Linked DNA regions of Drosophila melanogaster. The protein of the gene in region 3 interacts with the protein of the main gene of each other region in a pairwise test. Each region holds a gene or a part of one and is shown on either strand. Other genes may lie near its edges.

Region 1 (9,287 bases), 4.4 Mb from region 3:
CAGGCACACAAACCGAATCGAAGCCACAACAAATCGACTCCCAATATGTGAATCATAAGCCATAGGCTCACTGCACTGCACTGGAGTGCATTATTATGCAAGCCCCCAACAAATCCAACCATGCGATGCTGGCCACAAACTTGAATGGGGTTTCCCCAAGGCCCAAAGCGGTTTAAGCCGGCAGCAGGCAATCAAGAATTGAATAGGCCAACAATGCGAGACCAAAAACTTCAGTTCGGTTTTCTTGGGATTTTCCAGCGGCGGATTGGCGAATACTTTTTGGGCAAATCCATGGCACAATTGCAGATGCAGTAAAAAAGCGAAATGCAATTGCAGGCACTGGAAAAATTGTTATGTTCCAAATATATAAGTAAGTCAGAAAAATGATATAGTTAATTAGTAAAGTACTTAATCGTCTATGATTATTTTTAATGTTTGGAAAAAGTGCATATCCGCTGATATGTATCAAAAAACAAAATTCATAATTTATTAAAATATATAAATTAACAAATTAATAATTATAAATTAATGTAAGGAGCTTAAACTAAACCCAATATAATATAAAGATATTTTCTAACTATCTTATTAAATTTCAATCGCCTTACTACAATTTTGTGTGCTGCTTTGATTTTATTTCCCCTCAAAAGTTAAGCTCTAAATCCATAATCGATATACGATGTATGTAGTTGGCTTAAAGAGATTGGCAAATTGTCTTTAGCCAAATGGTGCGTGTGGGTGGAAGACCTCAACTTGTTGAGCAATTGACACAAATCTAAGTCAGGGAGTCGGCACTTCAGCCTTGAGCCAGTGACAATATTTATTTTTTTTTATTGCTTTTGGACTTGAACTGCGACAATTTGGTGTGCGAAGGGGTATAAGAGAGAAAGGTATGGTGAGCGAAAGAGAAGGAGAGAGTGATTCAGTCGGAGGAAGCTAACAAAGTAGAGCAAACACGATTCCCACACAAATCCATTTGGACAAACAATTAACAAGTTGGCCATAATCAACATAGGCTATGTTGTAATAGTGCGGCCCAAGAAATGTGCAAAATGTTGGAGCGCACCATAAATAGATATGAGTATATACCAAATCCGAAATGCAGATCCAATAACAAGCCCCTGAACCTGTAACCCCATCGGATTACAAACTGTCCACCTGGCATTAGTTGTCTCCGGCGAGGTCCAAGTTCAAGTTCAGTTCATCACTCACTGGGATTTACCAATAGCCAAGTTTCAGCTAACTACCAAAATTATTTTTATCAGGAAAATCATTGTAGATAGCAATTAGCCGCATTCGTAGATACACTGTAATAGATGAGATTAAATTAAAACTTATAAAAACGTATAAAATCAACACATTATTTATATTGTTCTGCAAATATCAGGTTGTTTGAATGTTATCTAAATATTTATATTTAAATAAGATATGAAGCTTTTAAGACCTAATGAGTTATTAATCATGTATGCTAGTTTTCAGACCAGAGTATAACAAACGAAAATAGATGTATTAGTTACTGAAACGTACATTTAAATAAGTTTGATATTTACATTCGGAAAACCCTTTATAGATATTATATTAACAATGTATTAAAATCGATTTCCATCTTATTGATGTACCCCCAAAAAAAGGTAAGCCAAACGGAATTAAAAACGATGCAAAATAAGGTTCGTCGCACCTCCTTCGAAAAGCCCAAAGTGCTCGATAGTATGAGTCATAAAAAACCCGATGGTCAAAAACTACGCCACACGCTACGCTGATTGATAAAAACTTCGTGAATTAATCGCGAGCAAATAGCCAAAAGGTGTTTGGCAAACAGCCCAGAGTGGCGACAATAACAACTCCCGAGAAAAATCAATGTGATTAGCATAATTTTCGAAGCTCTGTTGGTCATTATCAACTTTCTTGGAATGCTTAACATAAAACGCCACTTAGGTGGGGGCTAGATGAACGACTGCAGCACATCGAACCAAGGTCAGTAACACAAGTGGAAGCCACTGGAGCCACTGAATCACAATGAGACTCACTCCGGCCGGGCAGCACTGACCATACACAACACAAACGCAAACCTGATAATGATTGGGATTTAAGGTAGTGGCACGCGAACGTGATCATCGTGAATAAGTTTGGGGGGAATGTCTCTAATTTTTATGAACTTCGGGTAATTCCGCCAAGCGCTTTTTACTCACAGTGAGCTAGGTTAAATAAAAAAAACGTTAAAATAAACGAAAATGAAACGAGTGACCGAGCGATGACGTTTGCATTGACCATGGGTTAAAAACCAGGCGATTTGAACTGAACTGCAACCAAAAAGAGAGGCAGATGTATGAAGTAAAAAAAAAATGGGGAAAGATGAATGTATGCCAAAAGATCCGGTTTGAGGCAATGCCCAATTTTACCCTTTTTCACGATGTTTTTATTATTCAGCGGTTGCTACTCTCTGACCCAATTCATAATTGCAGAATTGCATAATCCCGGTTTCTCAAGCAACGCCTTTCCGGGAAGCTAAATTTGGTTATTTAAAATTTGGTAAAATCATAAAAAAAAAAACAAAGCCCCATTTGGATGTTTAAGACAGTCAGTTATGTTTAAGAGATGTGTTGAATGTGATGATAGTTTCTGGGTTTCTTACTGATAATGAAGCTATCATAGTGATATTTCCGCCTATTTCCGCCTCGTTTACTGACCTCCAGTAGTTGGGCAGAATTGGGGATTTGAGGAAAAAACCCAGACGAAAAATCAACACTAACAGCGAAAAAGAGGGGTTGCCAAACATTGTCGCCGTCGCCGCTTTTGTATCTTTTGTTTTGGGCTACCGATTCGCAAACTAAGGCGGTATGAAAGCTAGAAGAAGACGGAATCAATGCAGACAGAGACAGCGAAACGTTGGAGCTTGACGTCGACGGCGCGCATGCACAGCTTTTGTATAAAATGTGCGCGGCCAACGAAAGCGAAATCAGTGAACGATCTGCAGAGCATCGAAGAGCACAATCGGTGCAGAAAGTGAATGAAGTGAAAGGATAAGAGACTCAGTAAATTGCATAAGGATTATCCGGACAACAGTGATAACTAACCAATTGGATTAATAAACTTGACACAAAAAAGGTGAGTGAAGTGAGCGAAATTAGCAAAGTGAACTCAAGTGAACCGAAAGCGAACTAATTTAAATGAATGGCTATTAGATGTGAATTATGAGTCTGCAGCACATGAAATTATGGTTGTTGCAAATATGCCTACATACATACACTTAATAAAAACTCTTGGCCAAGAGCCTCCGCGTCATTAAGCCAATCGAACAAGCGAAACTTTCACTGCGAACACAAAGGAAAAACCTAAAAAAATTTCCCAAACCCAACCAAACGGCAGTTAGCATCGCTTACGAGCACTTCTCGCCAAAGAAAATCCAAGCGAAAAAGTTGCCGGCAATTTGCAATGCAACGCTGCGCACAACTTCCGGCCGAAAAAGCAGGCCTAAAGAAATCCAAAGATACATTTACATAACTGGAAAATATATACTTGAAAAAAATCATAAAAAATAAAATATAACTCGAAATTGTAGTGTGTAATGCCGCTCTAGATGAATCAGATCTGTTTACATAATCATTTAAAATATAAATATATCTTCTTACTTAAGCATATAATTCCGAGTGGCAAAATTATAATTCTGGCTATCCTATTAGTTACTCCTTAAACCAATATTACATTCATAATTGATTTTTTTGTTAAGTGTAGCCGATCTTTTACAAAATCCGCCCTCGCTGTGAGCCGGTGACATAACTGCAATGCAAACGACCATAAAAATAAAGGCTGAAAAGAAAAGTGAATTTTACCAAATAAAAGAGACACGAAGCGGAAAGCGGCTGTCAGGGCGAGAGATCAAGTTGAGCGATGGTCTTCGGTGGGATTGCAGTCGTAGGCTTGCTAAATCTGTAGGAAAATTACCTCATAAATTACGGGGACCTGAAGCCAGCGATCCCCTCGCCATCCCGACTCGCATTTCGAGCAAAAGTAACGTACAAAATCAGGCAATTAAGTGCTACGGTCTGCGACCTCCAATGAAAGTAAAAGTCTTATACGAGAGTCTGAGTCACGGTGAAGATTTCGTGATGCTAACCGGTTTGGGCTTCGGATTCGGTTTTGTTACGGATTGGTTAAGCCAAAGATGGTATGAGGGATCGGTGGCTAGGTGGAGAAATGTAAACTGGCACAATGACTTGGGGTAATGGTGTCAAGCTCGCCACTTATGTCATAACCAATCATGACTAAACCTCTTAATTTATTTTCCACTCAAAAGAAAAGGCGACAAAGATGGTCAATCAATCACTTGATTAATATATCCGTAGATATTAGAGAATTGGTATCCTAAAGTTTTTCTATCTAATCATTTCACAGGCTTCACAATGAGAATAAGAACTAGCCTTTTGGCAGTTGTACTGCTGGCCACCGCCTCCTTGGCCGAGGAATCCAACTGGGGAAATGAGTGGGCGCCCATGGAGGATGCCATGCCCAGTCGCCGATCTGTCGATACCAAGCCCGCCGAACAAGCTGACATTCAGGGACGTTACCTCGTCCACGAGTCCATCCAGAGCAACAGCACCACCCAGATTGACGAGGTCATCGAGCAGCTGATCAACTCCCGCCGTGAGGGTCGTAATCTGGGGGAATACGATGCCGTCTATGCTGATGGCAATATCGATCAGGCTCTGCAGCAGGGAAACGATATGCAGGCCCGCAATCTTATCCGGGATAAGCTGTGTGGATTGGGACTGATGAGCTGCGATGTGGAGGAGAAGCGTCCCTTCTACTCGACCATCTATGCCCAGGGTCCCCCACCACCATCTGGTTTCAGCGGTGGTCCCTATGGTCCGGCTAAGCCCATGCCCCCACCAAGCTACTTCAGTGGTCGTCCACCAATGGGTGGACCTCCTGGATCTTACGGACCTCCGCCAAGCTCCCTGAACTCCTTTGGACCTCCGCCCAGCTCCGTGAACTCCTTTGGACCGCCAAGGAAGGTGGGATACGAGGGACCATACAAGCCAATGTCTGGACCTTACAGGCCATCTGGACCCGGTGGCTACCTGGAGCATCCTCCACCATCCGCCATTGACGGTTCATCCGACGGTATCACCTACACGAAGCCACCACCCGGAGCCCTGATCTATGACAGCAAGCCACCAGGACCCATCTACACCGGAGGTCCTTCTCTGGGAGCTGGACCCGTTTTTACTGGTGCTTCGAATGGAGTTCCTCCATACAACTACGAGAACCCCGAGGGTGGCATCCAGGGTGCAAGCTCTGCTCCCAATGGTTTCTACTCGCAGCAGTCTTCAGCTTCTTCCGCCTCGGCCACATCCTCCAGCACCAAAGTGGTGGTTGGAGCACCGCTCGATGGTCTGCAGCAACATGTGCATCATCATTATCACCATGTTGAAGGTGGCGAGGGAGCAAAGGTTCCCAGTGTGCCAATTCCCATCGGAGCTGGCCAGACCATTAACACCGACTTCAGTGCCCTGGCCCAATCATCTGCCACATACACTCCCTCCATTCAGACTTCTTCCGGATCCAGTTACTCCCAGTCCAATGCCTTCAATGCTGGCTTTAATGGTGCTTCTCAGGGTGGACTTCTTTCGCAGAACGGTTTTGGAATCTCCCAGAAACCCACTGGAGATCTGTACAAACCAAACTCTGGAGATCTCTACAAGCCCAACTCAGGACTAGGAAACTTTGGCAGCAGTTCCTCTGGAGGATTCAGTGGATCGCCCAGCTCCAGTTATCACAGCCAGAATCCCGACTACTACAAGAAGGAGCTGCAAGGTGGAGCATCCAATCAGTACAATGGCATCTCTGGTGGTTACCAGGGTCAGGGTCAGTACCAGAGTGGATATGACACCTCGCGCCAGCAGATCGTCGACTGCCAGTGTGTGCCCATCTCCCAGTGTCCCGCTGCCGATCGCATTGGACGCAAGGAGGATCTCATTCTGCCTATTGATCCCCGCAACCTGGGCAAGGACATTGAGGCTCTGAGTGACGATGCTCTATCCAGCAATGCTACCACTACTGCTGAGGCTAAGAAGGACGAGGAGAAGGCGGACAAGGATGACAAGAAGCGCACCCGCCGCCAGGCTGATCAAAAGGATGACGAAGCAAGCGATCTCTCACTCGATGCTCAAGGGGTAAGTCCATAGAAGTCTATTAGTTTAAGTAGTGCCCAACTAATGCCAAATCACACATGGTTCACATGGACCACTAATCGAGTTTTAGCCAAGCTCCTCCCTCCCACACACACACACATTCAAATCAAACAACAAATCAATCAGTCAATCAACAAATCAAACCAATCTGACAACTGCACCCATCGTTCAACGCTCCAAGCTCAACTAAAATACCAGAGTGCAAATCGGTTCCGATTAGACCAGTCACTAATCCCAGAACTAAACCAGCTAACCAAGCACGACCTTTGTGATCGCACGCCTGCAACCCGAAACATGCAACCTGCAACCGGCAATCAGAAATGGAACTCCACCTCTAGCGTTCTTATGTTTTCCCCTTACCAACAAATAGAGACAGTCCCCGCTCGGAGGATCTCCATTGGCATTGCCCGCTCTCCAGGCCATCGAGCTGATCCAACGCAAAGTGCTGCCCACCTACGGTGTCAGCTTTGGTTTGCCCTATCCCACTGGCGGGTATGGAGGTTATCCCTCGAATATTCTGGGTGATCATGTGCCCGCTCAAAACCCGTACTTCGGTTCGGTGGGTCCAAATGGTCTGAATCTGGGTCTGGTGAATGTGAATCCTCTGGTATCGGTGCAGGTGGCCAAAACAGAATATGGCGAGAAGGTGGTGAAGCCACTGGTCAATCTGCATGTCACTCCCAATGCGAATCTCATTCAGAAAGTGGGAGACTTCTTTAAGCGGAAGCCCACCGAAGCGTATAGTACACATTACCACCATCACGATCATTATAGTGGCTATGAGCACCACGATTACGATCACCATGACCACCACGATCACCATGACCACCACTCGTATCCGCATTTCTATGGAGGAACTGGACCGGGTCTCCATTTCAGTGTGGAAATGGTCCCAAGTACTCCCATATTTGAGTATCACAGTGGGCCTTCTGTTCAGTATCATCACCACCACGAATCGTCTCCCTACGAGAGCTCCTTCAACTCTATATATCCCGGATCCAGTCCCGATTTCGGGGGCTATGGCGAGTACTCACAGCATGTGGAGCGAAGTGCCAATGTGAGCGGTGGTGATACAGACAGGCCATCGAATTCCGGTCGTCGTGGCAAACAGTTGAACCTGGGACCCCTCTACAACATTCCCACTCCGGCTCCTGGTGAGGCAGCTGGCAGTGATCGGATCACTTTCCCACGGGATCGCAGGCGCAGGAGCGTTGAGGATGGTGTGTGGGCGGGAGCAGCTCCTAAGGAGCAGGTAACCATGTGTGGCTAAAGCATTAAAGTTCATTCGAAAGCGTCAATAGAGTACTAAAGTCCATAACTACAAAATTGAAAAATTTCATGAGAAGTTCAGTCCCAAATTATGTAACTATTTTGTAAAACTTTTTAAGAGTCAAAGAACCCCACATTTTATAAATATTCTTAATTGTTTATTGATTAAATCATTGATGGTAATTAGGAAAAGTTATATGGCATTCAAAGTACATTTCAAATCCAGATAAGATTGTACCCATTCCTCCAACATTTATCTAATTGCGATTGCCTTCCTTGATATTTTCCAGCGTGCCTATTATGGAAACCGACCCGTGGAAAAGACCTGCCGCATCAACGAAGTCTGCTGCCGTCGTCCACTGCGTCCCCAGGCTCCTCCCCAGCAATTTGGTCGTTGTGGAGTGAGGAACGCCGCTGGAATCACCGGTCGCATCAAGAATCCCGTCTACGTTGATGGAGACAGTGAGTTCGGCGAGTATCCCTGGCATGTGGCCATTCTGAAGAAGGATCCCAAGGAGTCGATCTACGCCTGCGGTGGCACGCTCATCGATGCCCAGCACATCATTTCCGCTGCCCATTGCATTAAATCGTAAGTTCTAGAGTCATAAAAGTATATTTCACCAGAGCATTAACCAATTGCTTCTTTCTATCCAGTCAAAATGGCTTCGATCTTCGTGTGCGTCTGGGCGAATGGGATGTCAACCACGATGTGGAGTTCTTCCCCTACATTGAACGCGATGTGGTTTCCGTGCACATCCATCCCGAGTACTATGCCGGCACTCTGGACAATGATCTGGCCGTTCTGAAACTGGATCAACCCGTTGACTTCACCAAGAATCCGCACATTAGTCCCGCCTGTCTGCCCGACAAGTATTCCGATTTCACTGGAGCTCGTTGCTGGACAACTGGATGGGGCAAGGATGCCTTCGGCGAGCACGGAAAGTACCAGAACATTCTGAAGGAGGTGGATGTGCCAATCCTATCGCACCAACAGTGCGAGTCCCAGCTGAGGAACACGCGTCTGGGCTATAGCTACAAACTGAATCCCGGATTTGTGTGCGCCGGCGGAGAGGAGGGCAAGGATGCCTGCAAGGGTGATGGCGGTGGCCCATTGGTGTGCGACCGGAATGGAGCCATGCACGTGGTCGGAGTGGTGTCCTGGGGCATTGGATGTGGTCAGGTGAACGTTCCCGGCGTCTACGTTAAGGTCTCCGCCTACCTGCCCTGGATCCAACAGATCACCCAGAGCTATCAATGATTAACGGATCAGCAGACTGACAAGGAGGAGGTGACTGGCTACCATGCGAATATCACCGGATCCGTTCCGGTTGACACCTCCTCCGATGAGTTCGTTTTCCACTTCTGACCGAAGCCATCTTTCAACACTCTCGCATTCCAACTACCGACCGAATCGTTTCGATAGTGGCATTCGTCATCGTATTTATCACTCTTAGTTATTACGGATGTCTCCTTGAATACCTGTTATATTTTGTTATATATATGATTCACTTCCCTTCACTTCACTTGTTGACCCACTCATTAGCTACTCACAGTTGTTGCTCAATTGAAGACGCACTGGCGTCGCGTCACCTTGTCACTTCTTTGATATTAATTGTAACGCGAATCTTGTACACCGAGTTCCGATTTTGTCTTGTAAAATAGTGTTTGTCATAACTTATTTATTTATGTATTTGTAATAAATAATTATGTATTTAAATAAAAAAAAAATAATTTATATAAAAATTGTGTCATTCATAATGGTACTTGGGTGGGGAAACTACTAATGTACAATAAGTTAGTTCGTTATCAAAGGGTTTTAAAATCCGCACA
Region 2 (6,323 bases), on a different chromosome or scaffold from region 3:
CGCACCACTACGCACCTCGAATCACTGCCTCTCGCTCGCACTCACTCACGCGCTGCTGGGCAGAACGTTACGAATATTATTTATCGGGTTTTTTCGCAATTGCACACACACTCGCTGCGTTATTGGTTGCACCGTACTTGCGCCGTTCACTTGTCTTGTCAATTAACCGCAATTAGTCAATTAATTGGAGCATTATACCGCCGAAACGAAAATCAAAATCGGTTACCAGACATGTGGTTCTACGGGTCCAAAAGAAAAAGAGCAGGGTTGTTGTTCAATTCGTTTGCGTTGCGTTGCGATAGATATCGACCGATGTGATAGCTACGGTTAATAGAGATGTCCCAACCGGCTCGCAACTGATTTAATTTATTTAATGTTGTTTTTAAATATGATTTTGAAATATCTTCCAGAAAGAATTACTTTTCGAGAACAAACTTATTTTTTCCCCATTTACCACTTGATTTGAAATTGAAAATAGGACATTCAAATTTATGCGGCTTATCGATTTCACACTACTTAAGTGCTCGGAATATCATTTATTTTTATCAGAATTTATTTTTATTTAGTTTTATCAGAATTAAATATATATGTAATTTTTCTTTTTCTAAAATTTACAACGTGATTAACATAACGTAAGCAATAACGTGACGTGGCCCTCGTTTTTTAAACATTTGAAACAAATGTTTAATGTCAGATAAGCATTTTTTGTAAAGTGAGGTACATATAGATCTTTGTTTGGTTTTTCCCGTTTTCAAACAAATTTACTGGTTAAACATTTTCCAATCCATTTTTAATTGAAAGCAGCAAAACACTTTTAAAGAAAAACTGGAAATAATTATATTTCAATTGCACATTCACAAAAAGTAGTGGGTCCACAACACAAAGGGTCAGTACAGCTACAAATGTAGGGGTTAAACATATGTGGCTTCAGCCAGAAGGAGCACAAATGGGTTAAGGGTTCGGATTTTGATCCGACAAAATACCAGAAAATTTTAACTTAAGTGCTAGGGTTTGTTTTGTTTTTCTCAGGCAGATACTAAAATGGAATTCTTGAGACGGTGCGAGCCAGTTAGCCAGATAGTTGGGGCGCCTACTCCACGGTCACCGACTTGGCCAGGTTCCTGGGGCAGTCCACGTCGCAGCCGCGGAGCACGGCGATGTGGTAGGACAGCAGCTGGAGCGGAATCACCGTGAGCACGCCCTGCAGGCAGTCCACGGTCCTCGGGATCTGCAGCGAACGCGTGGAGAAGGACATGGTCTCGTTGTCGCCCTCCTCGCAGATTAGGATCGGTCTGCCCTTGCGGGACGTCACCTGCTGCAGTGCATTCATGCACTTGGTGTACACCGGATCCCGCAGCACGATCATCAGCACGGGCATCTCCTTGTCCACCAGGGCCAGTGGTCCGTGTTTCAGTTCTCCAGCCAGGATTCCTTCGCTGTGCATGTACGTCAGCTCCTTGACTTTCTGCAATGAGCAAGTTAATTGATTAAATTCAGCTCATGAAGCGTGGGACAAACATAATAATTAATTTAAGTGCACTTGGCAAATAAACAAGTTAAGTGAATTGTTGACATCGGTTATTTTCCATCATTACGTTCCCATGCATGCATTACGATGCATAAATGAGATTCGATTAAATTATAGCTCAAATTATCAAATGGATTACCAGTGCGCCCTCCAAACAGGTGGCGAAGTTGAAGCCCCTGCCCATAATGAGCAGCGACTTGTGCTCGTACAACTCCTTGGCAAGCTGCTGCACCTGCGAGTTCAGCTTGAGGACAGTCCTAATGTGCTCGTCCAGCTGCGATAGGCCATCGATGATCTCCAAGCGGCGCTGTTGCAGCGAGAGACGATCCTCCGACATGACCAAGGCGAACATAACCAGCGAAATGAACTGGGAGGTGTAGGCCTTCGTGGAGGCCACTCCGATCTCGGGTCCAGCGTTGATGTGGACGCCACAGTGCGACTCGCGGCAGATGCTGCTGCCCACCGTGTTGGTAACGCCCACGATGAGCGCTCCTCGCTGCTTGCAGTATCTGAGCGCCATCAGGGTGTCCGCTGTCTCGCCCGATTGGGAGATGAAGAAGCACACGTCGTCCCGGAAAATGGGCGTGTTTCTGTCCAGAAAATCGGAGGCCAGTTCCACCATAACGGGCAGTTCGGTCAGTTCCTCCAGCAGCTGCCTGGTGGCCACCGCACTGTGGTAGGATGTGCCGCACGCAATTAGCATCAAGCGGCGGCAGCGCTTGATCTCCGGTATGTACTCCTTGATGCCACCCAGAACCACGGTCTGCGTATCGAACCTCATCCTGCCGCGCATGGTGTTGACCACGGATTCCGGCTGCTCGAAGATCTCCTTCAGCATAAAGTAGTCGTAGTTGCCCTTCATGATCTGCTGGATCTCCATTTTCAGCGTGATGATCTCGCGGGCGTGCGGATCATCGGATGATTTGTTTAGGCGATGAATGCTGAGCGTGCCATCGCTCTTGACGGCGGCCACGTCGTCATCTTCCAGGTAAATCACCCGATTCGTGTGCTCTATAACAGCCGATGCGTCCGAGGCGAAGAAGTACTCCACTTCCTTGCGCTCCAGCGGTTGAAACTCGGCGTTGCAATCGCCGGGCGGCAATAGTTGATAGGCCTGCTGCTGCGGCTGACCATGTGGCCGATGGGCCTTGGCGTACAGGATGGGTATGTGATCGGTGGCCAGCTTGGTCTTGGCCTTGATGCCCACCAGAAGCGGTGAGCCTCGCCTGGAGGCCACGCACTCGCCCGGGAAGTGCTTCGACTTGAAGGCGATGGCGAAGGCGCCCTCCAGCTGCTGAATGGCCTGCTCCACGAGCTCGCCGAAAGTGTAGCCAGGATGCTGCTGCCACAGGTGGTGTACCAGCTTGGCAATCACCTCCGTGTCCGTGTCGGACTCAAATACATATCCGCGCTTCTCCAGCAGCGTCTTCACATCCTTGTAGTTGGTTATAATGCCATTGTGCACCACCACAAAGCTATTATCCTCATCGGATCGCTGCGGATGCGAGTTGACCTCGGAGGGCACACCGTGGGTGGCCCAGCGCGTGTGTGCTATGCCTATGTGGGTGTCGATGGGCAGCGAGTAGTCCTGGCCGCGACACACCTCCGCCACCGCATCCTCCAGCACCTTCACCTTCCCGGTGCGCTTCACCAGCATTATGGACTGTGCCTCGCCAGAGTTCAGCGCATCGATGGCTATGCCCGTGGAGTCGTAGCCGCGGTACTCCAGCCGCTTCAGTCCCTGCAACAGGAGATCCAGGACCTCCTGTCGCGACTTGGGCGTCAAGTAGTTTAGGTACGCGAATATGCCACACATTCTGAAATGCGATTGCTTTTGCTGAAATTTGCTGGTGATTCGTGGTTTTCCACGTCGCAATGTTAACTTTCCGGTCAGCTGAGGCTGATCTTACACTTCTGAGGCGGCTGCAATGCGATTGTCGTGTTTTTATCGCGACACTGGCTGGAATTTTTTTTGTTTTTCTCTGATAAACCAACCCAATTATTTGCTTTTTCGGCGAAAAGAACACGTCTTCGCCCTGCTCTCCCGCTCGCACGCACACACGCGCCGCTCTTGCGCTCTCGCTCACGCACACAGCTACAGCCACACGCGAGCTGCCATGTAAACATTGGCTTTGTGTGACCGTATTGCAGCCAGGGATGGAACGGTAATTTAATAAATTATTTTTTTACTATGTATTGAATAATATAATAAACTTTTAAAGCTATATACAAAGATGTTAACTGTGTAAATTGTCTGAAAAAGCTTAATATAATATGACCATAAAGGCCAGATCTCATTTCATAGTTGGTTTAAACGACATTCTGTTTTTCCCAAAAATATGAGCATTGAAGATAATATTTTCAACCCATGTTCTAAAGGTTTTGGAAGTTATACCAAAAAGCATAAAATGATTATTGGTTGCTGAGAGTAATCAATGGTGTATTTTGACTATATATAGCTCAAAGTTTACCGTTTATTTGAGCGTACATATGTATGTATTAACAAATTTAAGAAAATATATATATTAAAATTAATATATCGATACCCGAAAATATGCTAAGCATATTGCACATCGATATTTCTAACTGTATGTTTTTGACATCCCTAGTTCTGAGTAGAGCTGGCAACGCCGACATTGTGCAACTCGAAAACGGCGTGAAATACGTATTAAACAGCATTTATTGGCAGAAATCGGCGCATATAATGACGGTAAACAAACGCGACGCGGGTGCCACGCGACCGCGGTGCTTCTTTGACATTTCCCTGGGCGGCCTGGGCATGGGCCGCATTGTCTTCGAGCTCTTCAACGATGTGGCGCCCAAAACGGCCGAAAATTTCCGCGCACTCTGCACGGGCGAAAAGGGATTTGGCCTAATCACCGGCAAGAAGCTGCAGTACAAGGGTGTGATATTCCACCGGGTGGTCAAGGACTTCATGGTCCAGGCGGGCGACTTCTCTGCGGGCAACGGCACCGGCGGCGAGTCCATCTACGGCGGGACGTTCGAGGGTGAGTTCTTCCGGCTTCCGATTCGATGCCTGCATGCATACATACACGCTTGTGTGTGTGTGCTGCTGTTTGTGTGGGAAAAAATCAATACAGTGGTTATCTGATAAGAAGAACAGAAAACGAAAGGGAATATACAGGGTACTTAAAGTGCAATTAATAAAGAGTCAGTAGGGGGAGAAATGTAATAAAAACACTGTAAATACAGACACCCACATTTGGAGATTTAAAAACTTCCAGCCAATTACATCTAAACTGCACTACAATAATCTACTTAAGTTTAATCTTTGTCGAAAAAAATTAAAACGCTTTTGATATGCCAGCCAAAGTGTACAAATGCCCCATTTAAATGTCAAAAATAAATGTTTACTCAAGCGACTCAATTTAAATTTACATTTTGGCAAATATTTCCATTAGAAAGATAAGGGAATGGTGCACATCATACATCTACATATTGCTAATTATACGTTTGGGTGGAAAATGGGACAAATATGCAAATAGAAGCGGCTTTGGGAAATCCAATTACATGCGCATTAAAAAGTTATCTAGAAGATAACTTGAGTTGCTCATCTCTCTTGGGCTTTAAAGTAACATTTAAAGTGAATTTGGTTTAAACAATCCGATTCCTCTTTCCAGATGAGAGCTTCGAAAAGAAGCACGATCGTCCCTTCCTGCTGTCGATGGCCAACCGGGGCAAGAACACAAATGGCTCGCAGTTCTTTATGTAAGTGCTCTCGACGGAGGACCGTAACCGGCTGGTCCGGACTAACGTGGCCGTAAATTTAGTTTCAGTTCTGTTTCAGGCACCGATATTACAGCTAAACTCTCTTCGTCTTCTTTTTGATCTATACTTAAACCACTGTTGTTGTTCATTAATCTATTGCCATTTAGCCTTAGCCCGTGGGCGTTAAAGTGTGAGCTAGCGTCCCACTGACCAGCGGACAGATGCATCGCAATCTGTCCTCCATCGGCCGATGCACCGCCATCCCAGCATCCCTAGTGCATTTGGTCTGTGGGTCCAAAAACCAAGCGAAAGACGATGCAGGTCTTTCAGCTCCATGGTCTTTGGTCCCTGGGCCTGGGTCTCAGTGTGTGTCTCAATCTCTCTCTCTCTCGCTGTCGGCTCCTTGTGGATCTTTGCGGGAATCTTGGGCTGGATCCTCACGATGGATCTGCCAGATGACAATGTGCTGGCCATGGCCAGCGGCAGCGGCTCTTGCGGTTGGTGGCTTGCCAAAATCCTGTGTGCCACCTCTGCCTACACACCTAGAAACCTTTAAACTTTGTTGCACATGACATTGTCTCCGCCACAACCGACAACAATAACAACAACAACAACTGAAACAACAACAACAACACCGATTTCAACTACAACTGCCTACTGCAGCCCAACAACCAGTTAGCCAAAGTGTAAAGAATATTTTTCTCTTCTTCTGTTTCTCATTGTAGTACAACACAGCCTGCGCCACATTTGGACAAGTAAGTTAGCTTTGAACACGTTAAGTAGATCAACAGATTAATAGCGTCATATTTTCTCGTTGCAGTATCCATGTTGTATTCGGCCAAGTTATATCCGGTCAGGAGTTGGTGCGCCAATTGGAGGGCTTGCCTGTCGATCGGAACTCACGCCCGCTGCAGGATGCAGCCATTGCCAACTGCGGTGAACTAGTTAGACAGACAAAGGGTACGACTGTAATCCATTTTCGCATATCCATTATACTTGACATGCTTCTCGTCACATAGCCAAAAAGGAGAAGAAGCACAAGAGGCGCTCCACGGCCACCGAAGAT
Region 3 (9,204 bases):
GATGACTGGTTGTAGGTCTTGGGCCTAGGTGTTGCCTCGGTTGGTGCCACTATGGTGGACGACTTTGGGGATTCCTCTAGCTTCACTGGCTTCTCCTCATAGTACTCATCCTCATCGTATTCATCAGGATCGGCCTCATCTTCATCATCGTACTGAACGGGCTCCGGGTGGTCTAGCTTACTCACTACCTGCTCCGCTTCCTCCTTGGGCTTGGTGGACTTCAGTTGCGCCTCTGGCACCCTGTCGGACTCATCAGTAAGCGCGGGTCCACTGTAGACAGCATCAGCTCGATCAGTAACACTGGAAGTTGAAAGTTAAAGAAAAGAAAATAAAATACAATCGTATAAATTTTACAGAGGCACGCACTTCCCATTTGAAAAGTAAGTAAGCAAAAGTAGTTAGAAATTTTAAAGGATTTATTCGTTTATGTATCCAACATAAATAACCTCAAAAAGTATACAAAAATGAATACGTTTTATGCTAAAGAATTCCATAAAGGCATGGCAGTTATAAAATCACAATAAATTGATTGAGCTAAAGTGTGTGACTTTTCGAAATCAATTTTGAACATATTTTGCCAATTTAAAAACCACAGAAGCATACGTTATCCCTTTTTTTAAATAGCCCAAAACATGTTTTTCTTTCTTTCTTCACTTTTCCGATTACTTACGCATTTGCGTTGTTGCCAAACTGACTGATGGTATTGAAGAGTTCCCTGTTTGCTTCCCTGTAAGTAGCAACCTGCTCTTTGGTTCCCGACGCGGATTGTGCAGCACCATGGTAAGAAACACCAAAGCTGAAATACAAAACCAATAATGAGTGGCTAAAGTCAATAATCAATAATCCTATAGCAATGTTACCTCGATGTTCCGTGAATCTGCGAGCTACTCTGACTGGAATGAGTGCCAGATGAGGACGATGCCTGGCCGCCACCATTAGCTGCTATAGGATTGGCCTCCTGGCCGGGTCGGAAACCGATCTGGGCCTGGGAGGAGGTTTGTCCGGGTCCGCTCGATTGGGCGTCCGCCAGGCCGCCCTTGTCATTGGCGTGAACCTCGCTCTGGCTCTGTTGGATGATGCCACCGCTCTGCGACGAGGCCTTGGTGCCGCCGTCCTTGGCAACCTGTACCTGGGCCTGCGACTGGGCAGGACCTCCCGATCCCTGAGACTGACTCACGGCTCCATCAGCATTTCCGGTAACCTGTGCACTGGCCGCACGATCAGCATCGGACGTCATTGCACTGGCGCTAAAGGTTCCGCCGGAGCTGTAAGTTCCCGACACCTGAGTCTTGGCCGTGCCTCCATTCTTCTTGCCCTGAGCACTTGCCGACGCTTGTCCGTCGCCAATTGATGACTCGGCTTGGGAGAAGGCATCGTCAGCTCCGCTGGTACCGGCAGCAACTGGGAAACGAGCAATTCAAAACATTGTTTTCCACCGCCTTGATAGCTACTTACCAACTCCACCGGTGCCAACAGCACCAGGTACAGTTTGACTTCCATCTGTATATCGACCTGGTGCCCCAATTTGTCCTGTCTGGGTTCCGTATCCTGGTTGTCCTACTCTGTCTCCGATCTGTCCGGGCTGCCCTCCAATGACTCCAGTTTGGCCGCCACCTCCTGGCTGTGTTCCATAAACTGGCGCTCCACCGATTCCGGGTTGGCTACCGTATCCACCGTGCCCACCAACTGTCTGTCCGCCAATTCCGGGTTGAGATCCGGGTCCGTATCCGGGTTGGCCAGCTGTGGCCTGACCACCTGTTCCAGGTAAGCTTCCGTATCCGGGTTGCCCGGCTCCGGTTTGTCCAGGTTGAGTTCCGTACCCGGGTTGGCCACCGCTAATTCCTGATTGACCTCCAGTTCCTTGCTGTGTTCCATACACAGGTGATCCACCAATTCCAGGTTGACCACCGTATCCGGGCTTTCCAGCGGCGGTCTGTCCGCCTATTCCAGGTTGTCCTCCAAATCCAGGTATGACACCGTATCCGGGTTGTCCAGCTCCAGTCTGTCCGCCAACTCCAGGTTGGCTTCCATATCCGGGCTGTCCGGCTCCAGTCTGTCCGCCAACTCCAGGTTGGTTTCCGTATCCGAGTTGTCCTCCAAAACCTGGTTGGGCACCGTATCCGGGTTGTCCGGCTCCGGTCTGTCCGCCAATTCCAGGTTGGCTTCCATATCCGGGCTGTCCGGCACCAGTCTGTCCGCCAACTCCAGGTTGGTTTCCGTATCCGGGTTGTCCTCCAAAACCTGGTTGGGCACCGTATCCGGGTTGTCCGGCTCCAGTCTGTCCGCCAATTCCAGGTTGGCTTCCATATCCGGGCTGTCCGGCTCCGATCTGTCCGCCAACTCCGGTTTGGCTTCCATATCCGGGCTGTCCGGCTGCAGTCTGTCCGCCAATTCCTGGTTGGGTTCCGTAACCGGGTTGCCTTCCACTAGTTCCTGTTTGCCCTCCAATACCAGGCTGACCTATAAATCCATATCCAGGTTGGCCGGCTCCAGTCTGTCCGCCAATTCCAGGTTGACCACCGAATCCGGGTTGGTTGGTTCCGGTCTGTCCACCAATTCCAGGCTGAGTTTCGTATCCATAATGTCCGCCAGGAACAGCGGTTAGTGCTCCAATTCCTGGCTGAGTGCCATACCCAGGGAGTCCGCTTATTGTAGCCTGTCCTCCGTATCCTGGTTGTCCGCCTCCGGTCTGTCCGCTAATTCCAGGCTGCCCGCCGTATCCTGACTGTCCGGTTCCGGTCTGATCACCAATTCCAGGTTGACTGCCGTATCTGGATGGTCCGCCAATTCCAGGTTGAGCCCAATATCCAGGTTTTGCGGCTTCTGATTGTCCGCCACCGAGTTTCCCTCCAATCGGTCCGCTTATACCCCCAATACCTGGCTGAGTTAAAAATCCAGGCGATCCACCGACTCCAGTTTGACCTCCATATCCAGGTTGTCCGGCTCCAGTCTGTCCACCAATAACAGGTTGGGTACCGTATCCGGGTTGTCCGGCTCCATTCTGAGCTCCAACTCCAGGTTGGCTTCCATAGCTGGGCTGTCCAGCTCCAGTCTGTCCGCCAATTTGGCTTCCGTATCCGGGTTGTCCGCCACCGGTCTGTCCGCCAATACCAGGCTGGCTGCCGTATCCGGGCTGTCCGGCTCCAGTCTGTCCACCAATACCAGGTTGGGTTCCATATCCGGGCTGTCCGGCTCCAGTCTGTCCGCCAACTCCAGGTTGGGCACCGTATCCGGGTTGTCCGGTTCCGGTCTGAGCTCCAACTCCAGGTTGGGTTCCATATCCGGGTTGGCTTCCGTATCCGGGCTGTCCGGCTCCAGTCTGAGTGCCAACTCCAGGTTGGGCACCGTATCCGGGTTGTCCGGTTCCGGTCTGAGCTCCAACTCCAGGTTGGGTTCCATATCCGGGCTGTCCGGCTCCAGTCTGTCCGCCAATACCAGGTTGGCTTCCGTATCCGGGCTGTCCGGCTCCAGTCTGAGTGCCAACTCCAGGTTGGGCACCGTATCCGGGTTGTCCGGTTCCGGTCTGAGCTCCAACTCCAGGTTGGGTTCCATATCCGGGCTGTCCGGCTCCAGTCTGTCCGCCAATACCAGGCTGGCTGCCGTATCCGGGCTGTCCGGCTCCAGTCTGAGCGCCAACTCCAGGTTGGGCACCGTATCCGGGTTGTCCGGCTCCGGTCTGAGCTCCAACCCCAGGTTGGCTTCCATATCCGGGCTGTCCGGCTCCAGTCTGTCCGCCAATACCAGGTTGGCTTCCGTATCCGGGCTGTCCGGCTCCAGTCTGAGCGCCAACACCAGGTTGGGCACCGTATCCGGGTTGTCCGGCTCCGGTCTGAGCTCCAACCCCAGGTTGGCTTCCATATCCGGGCTGTCTGGCTCCAGTTTGTCCGCCAATACCAGGTTGGCTTCCGTATCCGGGCTGTCCGGCTCCAGTCTGTCCGCCAATACCAGGTTGGCTTCCGTATCCGGGCTGTCCGGCTCCAGTCTGAGCGCCAACACCAGGTTGGGCACCGTATCCGGGTTGTCCGGCTCCGGTCTGAGCTCCAACTCCAGGTTGGGTTCCATATCCGGGCTGTCCGGCTCCAGTCTGTCCGCCAATACCAGGCTGGCTGCCGTATCCGGGCTGTCCGGCTCCAGTCTGAGTGCCAACTCCAGGTTGGGCACCGTATCCGGGTTGTCCGGTTCCGGTCTGAGCTCCAACTCCAGGTTGGGTTCCATATCCGGGCTGTCCGGCTCCAGTCTGTCCGCCAATACCAGGCTGGCTGCCGTATCCGGGCTGTCCGGCTCCAGTCTGTCCAAGAATACCTGGTTGGGCACCGTATCCGGGTTGTCCGATTCCGGTCTGAGCTCCAACTCCAGGTTGGGTTACATATCCGGGCTGTCTGGCTCCAGTCTGTCCGCCAATACCAGGTTGGCTTCCGTATCCGGGCTGTCCGGCTCCAGTCTGAGTGCCAACTCCAGGTTGAGCACCGTATCCGGGTTGTCCGGTTCCGGTCTGAGCTCCAACCACAGGTTGGCTTCCATATCCGGGCTGTCCGGCTCCAGTCTGTCCGCCAATACCAGGTTGGCTTCCGTATCCGGGCTGTCCGGCTCCAGTCTGTCCGCCAATACCAGGTTGGCTTCCGTATCCGGGCTGTCCGACTCCAGGTTGAGTGCCAACTCCAGGTTGGTCACCGTATCCGGGTTGTCCGGCACCGGCCTGAGCGCCAACTCCAAGTTGGCTTCCGTATCCGGCTTGTCCAGCTCCGGTTTGTCCGCCAACTTCAGGGAGAGCAACATATATCAAACTGTATACATTTTGATTATATACGACTTACCACCTCCGGGTAAGCTTATAATGGAATCGGGTCTACCGATGCCTCCGGATCCACTAGCATCAAGAATTCTGCCTGAAGAAGGGTAATCCGTTTGGTAGCCAGAACATCCATTGCAGTCCCCTGATGAGAACTGGCTCTGAGCCTGACCCATTCCATGGGTGCCAGCTGAAAGAGGTCAAGAGGTCAATGGACAAAGTGCTAATGAATCTCATCTGACCCGTACTCACACACAGTGGAGCGAGATCCATTTTCGGTAGCCTCTGCCTCAGCCTTTCCATCCTCCTCAGGCTTACCGAAATTTAAGTACTGAGACTGGGTTTGTCCCCTCGAACTGCGGATAAACATGGAAAGGAAGTAAGCCCATCTGGTCCAAAATAGTTGTTAACCAACTACTTACTAGCCTCTGCCGCTTCTCTTTTCCCGCTGCAAGTCGTTCAGACTAGAAACCTCATTTTCCTGAAAGTTAATACATCGATTTAAATTCAATGCTAATGTCAGTCTAATCTTTATTCATTCAAAGGGTCTGTGCAAGTGTGCCCGATTAGATGCTGCTTGTAAGAAACTGACCTTGGTCAAATTATGTCTTATCGCCTACTTTTCGAACCGAGTTCATTTACATTACACTACTCTAGTTCCATTCAACACACACAGAGAAGCAACAATTCTCGGGGAGATTCATTAACAATTCGGAAACTTACGATGGCAGCTCCATTTGCGCTTGCCACGAATAGCACGGCGCCAAGTAGCAGGCCCAAGCGAAAGGGCAACATTTCAATAAATTAAACCCTGAATCCAATTGAAAGGCGTCGACGTCGCGGCAACACAACCAGCAAACTGTAAGATGAAATTGAATTGTATTATCAATACACCATATAGATGCGTGTTATTATTAGTTTATACTCCTTCTCTGTGTTTCTTGTCCGTCACTTTCAGAGGTTATCACTTTTCTTTAAAATGAGCACGCACGCTGTGCTATTAGATGCCAAAAAAAAGGCAATCGATCTTGAGTTATATTTCAGTCTTGCGAGTGATGTAATCGCTAAGGCTGATTAATGTAAGTTTCGAATTTTAGTTCTTGACACAAACGTGTTTGAATTTGTAGTCTGAAATCATACATATGTACATATCCTTTTTGATATCTTTCGCTTTTCACATCTTTATTTTGATTTTTATATGTAAAAAATACAAGAAAGTCACATAAGCACTTTACACTTCGAAAGGATAATTGTGTGATTATCCTGGCGAATATGAATTGTTACAGAATGTACATATTTATATTTGAATATAGAAATATTTAATAAATTTGGGAAGAAAATTTAATCTTCACATAATTGTGTTTAGATGTTGTCAATGATTCGATTAGTACAAGATTCTTAGTTTGCACACATTATAATTTACACACTTATTGTTCTTTTTGACCATTTACTAATGATATAAGGTCCTGTATTTTGGTTGATTTCAATTTCACTGCATATAGAAATTCACATTTAAATTTTATCAAATAAAACTCTACAAGTTGTAATCCGTTTCGTAATGCACAATTAATAGGATGTTTTGTTATCTTATTTCTTCACTAATCCCTTGTATTTGAGAGCTGTTTTTGCTCTATGTCCTTGCTGCGAGGGCACACATCCTAGGCACATACTTTTTCGGCTGCGTGTTCTAGGAATCCAATGGAGATTTTCCGATTTGCTTCCGATCGCGACAACTGCTGGATTGCGAATAACGCTGCCCTGTACGAGCATCAAAACTCTAGAGCTTGAGCAGAACTCAAATTCATTGAAGGCGAGCAATTTCCAATACATTTGCATTTGGCCAGCATGAATATTTATGTAGGATCCACACCAGCGCAGAGTGCTGGTATCTGTGAGGCGGATCAGGGCACTTGGAGCCCGAGCTGGGAGCTCGTCGCCAGTGCTATTCATTCGAGTGTCTATTCCATTACGTATCAGCGCTTTGATCGTGTCAATCGATCACTTGGTCTGGCTTGGCCTGCCGATGGAAGGGGCGGCGCGTTGACGTCCCCCTCGACAAATGAGTTTCTATGGGCATTACAACATCGTAGTCTATGCCAACGGATGGGGGACTCTTTTGACCCATTTTAGGGAAATGTACTGGCATTTATTAGCATATAAAGATACGCAATTGTGTATCTCTTGGATACATTTCAAGTGTGTCCCTGCCCACACTCATTCACTTGACTTGTATGTGCTCTCTTTGCATCTGGCGAAGGCTTTATCGATTGGGCTTTGGATTTCCCAAGCCACTTATTTATTTCTACAAATCAAAAATTGGCGGAAGTAATTTAATCAGATAACCTTTGAGACTAACTATTTGCTTTCGCTTTCTGTTTAGACTACCCATCGTCATATCTATATATAGAGCAGTCTCTACCAGCCCCCATTCAATGTTGAATTCGGCTTTATACCCTTATCTGCTAAGAGCTTCTATGAAACCATGTGTTAAATTGAACTGAAGCATTAAATTTTCAATTTTTGAATACCCATCGTCTGTATGGGGTGTGTTTCAAGGCTAGTAATATTTTTAATTGAAACCTAGATTGATAAGATCTACGAAAAAGGCCTAGGAACTGTGGAAAGCAAATAATCCGGCTACAGTGTACCCATTACTTATTTTACTAGATACAATTGCACTTAAAAATATCTTTAACCTTGTTTTCCAATTTTAATGGGAATAAAGTGCTATGAAATTTTTATTACATCGTAATAAGAATTTATATTGAGACCAATTTTTTGTAACACCTTGAGATGAATTTGAGACTACCTTTTGTTTCTATAACAATAGGGTAGTTCATTACCAAAGTGTCTCAGTCTATTGAAATAAATTTGCATGCATCCAAAAATATCTATTTAGATCATCTAAAAAAAAAACCCCAGTGAAATAAAAATGCGATTGAATGTGTTTTTTTTTTTTTATATACAACAATAGGAATTTAACATTCAGTTTCTGTTTCATTATATTAATAATTTTGCTAACTTTAATTAATCGATTTGTAATTTCCACAGTATAAATAAATTTTTAATAATTCGCAATCTTTTTATTCATTTCTTAGGTAAATATTGTCCAATGAATAATGCCGTTGCACTGCTCCTGAAAAAAAGTGTCCGCATGTTATTTATTAAAATTTTGTCTACTTTAATTGGACTTACTCTTATGTGCAGAATCGCCGGGACTTTTCGCAAACTTGACTAACGGGATTCCAGTAAAGTCCTGAATTACAGCTCATTACAACACCTCTCAGGCCAAAACACTTGACATATTTGGAGCAATCGCTTTGAAAAACGTTAAAATTCATGCCCGCTGCGCAAGAAATCGATTGACTCGCCCGAAGATTTGTGCAATATTTATTGGACCAATCACATGACTTTATCTCCGGGTTCCAATACAGCGGATCTGGACACTTGCGCTCCAATGCCACGCCATTACTACACTGCAAATACATGGTGCAGTCCGTTGGATGTGCAAGGAAATCCACTCCAGGTCCGCAAACCTTCTCCTCTGGATTGGAATTTTCAGTGTCGTTGTAGCAAACACCTGAATCTCCACTGCAAACAAATTTATGATAGTCCCAATAAAGATTAGCTGGGCACTCCATAATTAGTTCATGCCCGTTGCTGCAGTGAATATATTTATGACAATTTGTTGGATGGGGTAAATATTGATACCCGGTACTGCAAGACAATGGTGGTAGACTTGAAGTTGTGGTTTCAGGGGAAGAACTTGATGAGGGTTCTAAGGTTGTGGATCTTGAGGAAGATGGAATTGGACTACTCGTGGTATCGTATACTAGCGTGGTACTTGTAGAAACTTGTCCTGCAGTACTGTTTTCTCCCGGTGATAGGGTAGAATCGCCTAACGTTGTGCTCTCCTTGGGAATATTCGTCGTAGTCACAACAGTGCTACTTTCGTCTGTTGTTGTGTCCTGGTTAACAGTAGTAGATGTGTCAGGAATCGGTGTTGAACCTTCTGCCGTAGTATCATCCTCAGGTTTTTCGGTAGTTGTCTCGATTGCAACAGTTGTGTCGTCTCTCGTGGTGCTCCCTTCAGGATCATAAGTTGTTTCCTGGGCGACAGTGGTAGTTTCCTCAGGAATCGGTGTTGAATCTTCTACAGTTGTATCATCCTCAGGTTTTTCGGTAGTTGTCTCGATTGCAACAGTTGTGTCGTCTTCTCTCGTGGTGCTCCCTTCAGGATCATAAGTTGTTTCCTGGCCGACAGTGGTAGTTTCCTCAGGAATCGGTGTTGAATCTTCTACAGTTGTATCATCCTCAGGTTTTTCGGTAGTTGTCTCGATTGCAACAGTTGTGTCTTCCTCTCTCGTGGTGCTCCCTTCAGGATCATTAGTTGTGTCCTGGGCGACAGTGGTAGA
Region 4 (5,875 bases), on a different chromosome or scaffold from region 3:
TGTCAATCGTTTAAATGTCAAGCGCTGAGAAGCAGCAGTTGTAAGAAACTCGCAACCGTCGTGGACGTGCGAGTTGACTTAAAAGCACAAATGTGCAAGTTATCCAACCCGTAAATATAGCACTCTGACCCAGTTGATAAACAAATTTAAAACTCCAATCTCATCAGCATTTCCTTTGTCCTCGTTTAGTCGCCATCACTTAGCCACCCGATGAATAACCAAACTTAAAGTAAACACTAGTCAACAAATTTGAATTTCACAATGCTGTGAAATAATTTCAGTATAAAGCTTTTACCCTAAACATATTTTACAGTTCAAGAAAATCCTAAAGAAAAGCTTCTGGCCAAGGTTGAGTGGATTAGGATTAATATTTAGAAGATCAGTCTGAATCGGGACGAGATCGTGAACAGTTTTAAATTTAAGACAAGAGATAAAAAGAATGTCTTGTAATAGTATAAGTGAAAAGGTCTATCATGAATAAAATATTAAATTATAATAAAATAAAAATTTTTTGTTCAAATAATTAAAAAGGAACACTTTTAATTTGCACAAAGATTAATATTGTAAACCATTAACAATGAATATAGATTTCAGTGATTTCATAGCTTAGCGATTGGAGATCCAAGCGAACACTCGAAAACCGTGTTGTCTGAACACTCTGAAATATTTTCCCTACGACCAAGTGAAGTTGAGGTTGCCATTTGGAGTCCACAAGAGTCCCATAGGCATTTAGAGAGATTTAAAGCTCGGCTTAACTTAGCCTAATATAATTTCGGTTAATGATCAACATAACCTAGCTGTAACCTGCCGTCAGAGTGGGCGTGGCAAAGAGTTTTGTGGCCAATCCATAGAAATTTTAAAGCCTAATAAAAATATGAAAAAATGAGTGTGCGTCTTTATCTCTAGAACCTGTATGGTTAATTTCAACCTTCTAGCTTTTATAGTTCCTGAGATCTCGACGTTCATACGGACAGATGGACATGTCCGCTACTGATCCTGATTAAGAATATATATACTTTATATAGTCGGAAACGCTACCTTCTGGCTGTTACATACTTTTCAACGAGTCTAGTATACCCTAGTATACCCAATTTCTTAGCAATATGATAAAATAAAATAATAATTACGAATTTACACCTTGAATATATCACCTAAAGTACGATATTGCAACAAAACGACTTTAATTAAATATATAAACTAGGTTATATAGCGAAACTTTCAAAAAATAGAGAAGCTCGGCGTATAGTCAGCTTTAATCAAACGGATAATAAAATAAAATAATAAAATTTTAAATTAAAACATAACTTTTCCAAAAAGAAGTCATTACATTGAGGAAAAGATATTTCACAAAAATAATAAGTAGTAGAAAATAAATATTTATAAAATGAATAAAAATATGAAAACTTTTTATTGCAAAAGTCATATCTTGAGACACGAACACGTTTATTGCAACAATGATTGCCTTATTAATTTTTCACAAGGGGCAAGTGAACGCCCTAATAACCTTTGTTCTAATATAGTCATCTTTGAAATTTATTTTGTGATATTATGTACATATATATTCAAATAATAATATAGTTAAGGCAAAGAAACTAGACACTAGGGTCTTTGGTTAAGGCCATGCAAGCCAAGAATTTTTTACATGTTGCCAATTAAACAAAGATAATACAGATGTAAAGTCTATGAACTTGTAAATTGTCAAATTTACAATGCATTACCATACAGTTGTCGGCTGTCACTGTATGCGTAGAAAAGAACTGCTGAGCCACCTCTGGAGCCATCCCGATAAAATTGTGTGCAAAAAATTGTATGGCGTTACGCATCTTGTTCTTCAAATGTCTTTGGCTTAACCTCATATAAGCTGCAATGACCACTTGACCGGTTCCATGTGACCTCATTTTAACGGATTATAAAACTACATCATAAATATGGCGCAACATTTAAATTGCCAGACTTGAGATTGTTACATAAATCTGATCCGCAGCAATTGTAAATGTTATTTTTATTGTATTTGTGCGCTTGCAAATTTGATTAATCCTATCCAAATACCCTTTCAGTAATTACAAAAACATATATGTCTACTTAGCACCCATAGTGTTAAAAAACGAAACTTTTATTTATATTCTATTTTGGGTGTTTAATTTTCAAGCAGTTCTTAATGCAGCTATATGATATAGTCGTCCCATATTAAATAAAATTAAAATAAAATGTATATATTGTTAAAATATCGGATTTCGGATAGTTCCGAAGATATGTATAAAAATGGCTTTATGTATTCAATGCAATGGAATATAAACTTAAATTTTTTGTATAAAATATACGTAAATTTTTAAGGTATTTTAATTCACTATAGGATACGTTTAATAAGCCTAAGTCCTTTTCTACTCACCATACATATACCGAACGACAAAATCGACACGGTTATCCCAGGAATAAGCCATTATGACGGAATTTGTTTGGAGCTTATCCTCATAAAATGTAAATAGCTAAAAGTAGAAATACCATTACTATCTGAACTAATAAAAGTCTATAAATAAATTAAAATTTTTTGGTATCTATAAATAGTACTTTTAGGTAAAAAGTTCTTGAATAGTAAATATGAGCTCCTTACCTTCGGAATAGCTTACTTCAGACTAACTAAATTTGCTAAACCTTTTGCCAAAAGTCGTACACTTTGGCAACATTATTTACATGGTATGTATCTAAACATTATACATACAAATGTGTATTGTATAGAAAGTGCATTTGTATATATTTGTTCTCTTTCAAAAGGTAGTTTATTTTTAATTAGGAGTTTCCATTGTACTAAATGTAATTATTGTATTAAGTAAACTATAGCACTGTTTTGAAATCACAATCAATAACAATTCAGTTTTCTACTACCAAATATTAAGCCTACCTGTTACAATGTTATTCGTGAAAGTTTCCATATAGATTATGCTCTAATTAACCATTTAAAATGGAAAAAAAGCGAACAATTCACCCCTATTTAATTTTGTATTTGAACACTAATAGTAAAATATATCAAAAATCATTTTAACATTTAAAGAATTGATAATTAATTGACATGATTATTAATAGAAAAATATTTACTATTTTTGCAAGCTTACACACATGTATATTCACAAGTATATATTTATAGTACATGCATAACCTATTATAAAGCACACATTTTATAAAACTCACAATTCTTATTTTCGGTTTTATGTACATATACATATACATATATAGGAGATACAATATTCAACATTCAAATGTACAGTTTTATGTCTTATTACCATTGTGATCGGCGGTCTATAGTTGTCTATTACTGTTAAGATATAATATTATATAAAAACAATATATATACATATAAGAAAATATATATATGTTTTTATGCCCCATACGTGTAGAGTAAAATTAGATTCGTTGATTCTACGTGTAACGGGTATAATAATATAAAACAAGAGAGAAGGCTATAGTCGAGTTCCCTGATTATCAGATACCAGTAACTAAGCTAGGGTCAATGCTAACGCGAAAGTTCATAATTTTTCTGGAAAATCGATTGATATCGATTGATTGATTGATATTAGAAAAAAAATAAAATGAAAAAAAAATAAAAAATTGTTAAAAAAGTGTGGGCGTGACCGGTTTGGTGGCTTTAGGGCGTTTGAGTGGGCGTGGCAAAAAGTTTTTTGGCAAATCAATAGAAATATACACGACCAATAAAATTATGAAAAATATCTAACAATTTTTCAAAAGTGCGGGGGTGACCGGCTTGTCGGCTTTGGGGCGTTTGAGTAGGCGTGGCAAAATTTTTTTTTGCAAATCGATACATTGATCCTGATCATGAATATATATACATTTTATTGTCGGAAGCGCTTTCTTCTGCCTGTTTCAACCAATCTAGTATACCCTTTTACTCTATGAGTAACGAGCATTAAAAGAGTTGGACTATAAACTTAAGTGAGAACATCGTCTTTATAAGCTGCGAGTCTTTAGCTGTCGGCTGTGCTGTCCTTATTGGCAGAGGATCGACGTCGGCTTCTTGGAATCACAAGCGCTGGTGGGAGCGGAAACAATTGCCAAACACATTTTGGGAAATCTGCTTGGTGGCGCTGAGCTTGCATATTTGGGGTTTGTTACTCTATTACATTCTGTTGTAGACCGATGTTGAATTCATTGTTATTAACTTTAACTTTCTAATTTATGTAGGGAATGTTATTGAACTGAGGTAGCTGATGTTAACTTTTGTTTCCATTCCCGGTATAGGTCTAAGCTGCAAGTTTATGCTTCTCTTCCTTTGACTATAGGTGTGAAGGCCCAGGATGATAATCAGAGTATTGTCGAAGAGCGTCAGTAGGGTTATGCTGTTGGCCTTTTATGTATATGCAACGGTTCAGTGTTTCAAGAGATATAACCTCAGTCTTTCTTTTTCTTCATCTGTAAATTGTACAAGAGGCGAACTAGGAGACAGGGCTGTAGGTTCCAAGTTGGCGAATCCCCCTGTTGTCGATAATCATCGAGTCGTTTGATAGCTAAACAAAGTAGGTGAAGCTCTGTGAGGATCCAGGATATGATTCCATCGTAATCGTTTAATAGGATGATTCCGTCGTCGACCTCTTCCATTCTGGATAAGTTGTCGGAGTTGCTAAAACTACACAGATCTTTCTTTCCCAGAACTAAATTTGGAGAGCAATCAACTAATTTAATTAATTAATTTCTTATATTTACAATTTTTTTCTCATCGCATATTTATATATGTATATATAGGTAAGATTTTCGAAAGCAAAGATTTCTTGAAAGTCTAAGTTGTTGTAGTTCTGTTGTTTTTAACTATTGGTTTTACAATGATATCTTAGTATTTCTATAAAGTTTGCGACTTTTACGATGTACAAATGTGTTGTCTTATTATGTAGAATAGAGACCTCGGAAAACGCCATAGCTTCTTTCATCGATAGTAATAACATGTTGTTTCCCTTAAATATTCTTTCTATTTCAATTAATTCATCTTCATTTAGTACTAGTGTGTTACGACCTCTTGTCGCGCCCACTGGATGGCAGTTTCTACTTTTAGGAGTCTAATCTGGGTTTGTAAACTAAGAGCAATTTCTAAACGAACGGAACTGCCCTTTTGTATAGAAATTGTTAGAGCTTTAGATACTGTAGTCAGTTTGTTTATTCTTTCTTGTTTGTAAACAATGACTTGTTGGTTATTGTTGTCAATGAGCTCTGCTCTATTATGACCAGGTCATCGTGATCTGGAGTGGCCGCTATGTATTTTCACCTGGGACCTAGCCAATTTAAGAACTATTATTATTGATAATTACGTATTTCCCTTTTCTTTTTATTATGATTTCCGAGGTCTGGTTTCTGTTTGATAAGTCTTCAAAATGTGTTGTCTGGCTGTTTCGTTTTGGTCCGAGTTTGGGTCACTTTTCTGAATACTTCTAATGGTCGCTCCTTTGTAACTGAATAGAAACCGTAATTGTACTTATAACTTGTTCTTTCTAAAAGTTTTTGTAAATTTCTATCTGAACCTCCTCTTTTGAGGCATCTCAGTATTTCGGAAAGTGTCGAATGGAATCAAATGGAACCGTTCTATTTGAACGGTAACGGTGTGTCTTCGGTAGATTGTCTGTAGTTTTCAATAATATTGTTCAGTCATGTGGATGCAGTTTATTACGGATGGGTTGAGATGTTTCTTTAGGTCTGCTCTTATTTTGTATGTAGTATATTCCGGACTGTATATTTTATGTTTATGGAAGGTTGGAAGTGGAAATGTAAGCCTGAAGTTGGATCTGTCTGATTGTAAAAGAATTTTAGATTTTAAAGAACATATATTGCTGTTTCAACATGAACTACAATACTAGATCATGGCTAGAACTTTCAGCAC

Evidence for each region.
Region 1: the proteins of prc (region 3) and CG4998 interact in a two-hybrid assay, tested with the Drosophila melanogaster proteins (one large-scale study listed by BioGRID).
Region 2: the proteins of prc (region 3) and Gfat2 interact in a two-hybrid assay, tested with the Drosophila melanogaster proteins (one large-scale study listed by BioGRID).
Region 4: the proteins of prc (region 3) and Scp1 interact in a two-hybrid assay, tested with the Drosophila melanogaster proteins (one large-scale study listed by BioGRID).

What each region holds. Positions count from the first base shown.
Region 1 is NT_037436.4:16,336,047-16,345,333, forward strand, and holds CG4998 (uncharacterized protein), read left to right. Parts: upstream 1-2,956; 5' UTR 2,957-3,102; intron 3,103-4,389; 5' UTR 4,390-4,397; coding exon 4,398-6,170; intron 6,171-6,558; coding exon 6,559-7,440; intron 7,441-7,747; coding exon 7,748-8,046; intron 8,047-8,111; coding exon 8,112-8,715; 3' UTR 8,716-9,195; downstream 9,196-9,287.
Region 2 is NT_033777.3:28,336,203-28,342,525, forward strand, and holds Gfat2 (Glutamine:fructose-6-phosphate aminotransferase 2), read right to left. Parts: upstream 3,564-6,323; 5' UTR 3,345-3,563; coding exon 1,668-3,344; intron 1,466-1,667; coding exon 1,091-1,465; 3' UTR 817-1,090; downstream 1-816. Other genes in the region: Moca-cyp, read left to right, coding at 4,233-4,536, 5,170-5,257, 5,983-6,012, 6,078-6,217, 6,277-6,323.
Region 3 is NT_037436.4:11,959,594-11,968,797, forward strand, and holds the start of prc (pericardin), read right to left. Parts: upstream 6,539-9,204; 5' UTR 6,460-6,538; intron 5,649-6,459; 5' UTR 5,585-5,648; coding exon 5,513-5,584; intron 5,271-5,512; coding exon 5,212-5,270; intron 5,146-5,211; coding exon 5,042-5,145; intron 4,980-5,041; coding exon 4,815-4,979; intron 4,759-4,814; coding exon 1,456-4,758; intron 1,402-1,455; coding exon 861-1,401; intron 797-860; coding exon 671-796; intron 301-670; coding exon 1-300. Other genes in the region: Muc68E (mucin 68E), read right to left, coding at 7,987-9,204.
Region 4 is NT_033778.4:2,964,706-2,970,580, forward strand, and holds the start of Scp1 (sarcoplasmic calcium-binding protein 1), read right to left. Parts: upstream 3,348-5,875; 5' UTR 3,279-3,347; intron 2,640-3,278; exon of another isoform or gene 2,612-2,639; intron 2,487-2,611; 5' UTR 2,442-2,486; coding exon 2,390-2,441; intron 1-2,389.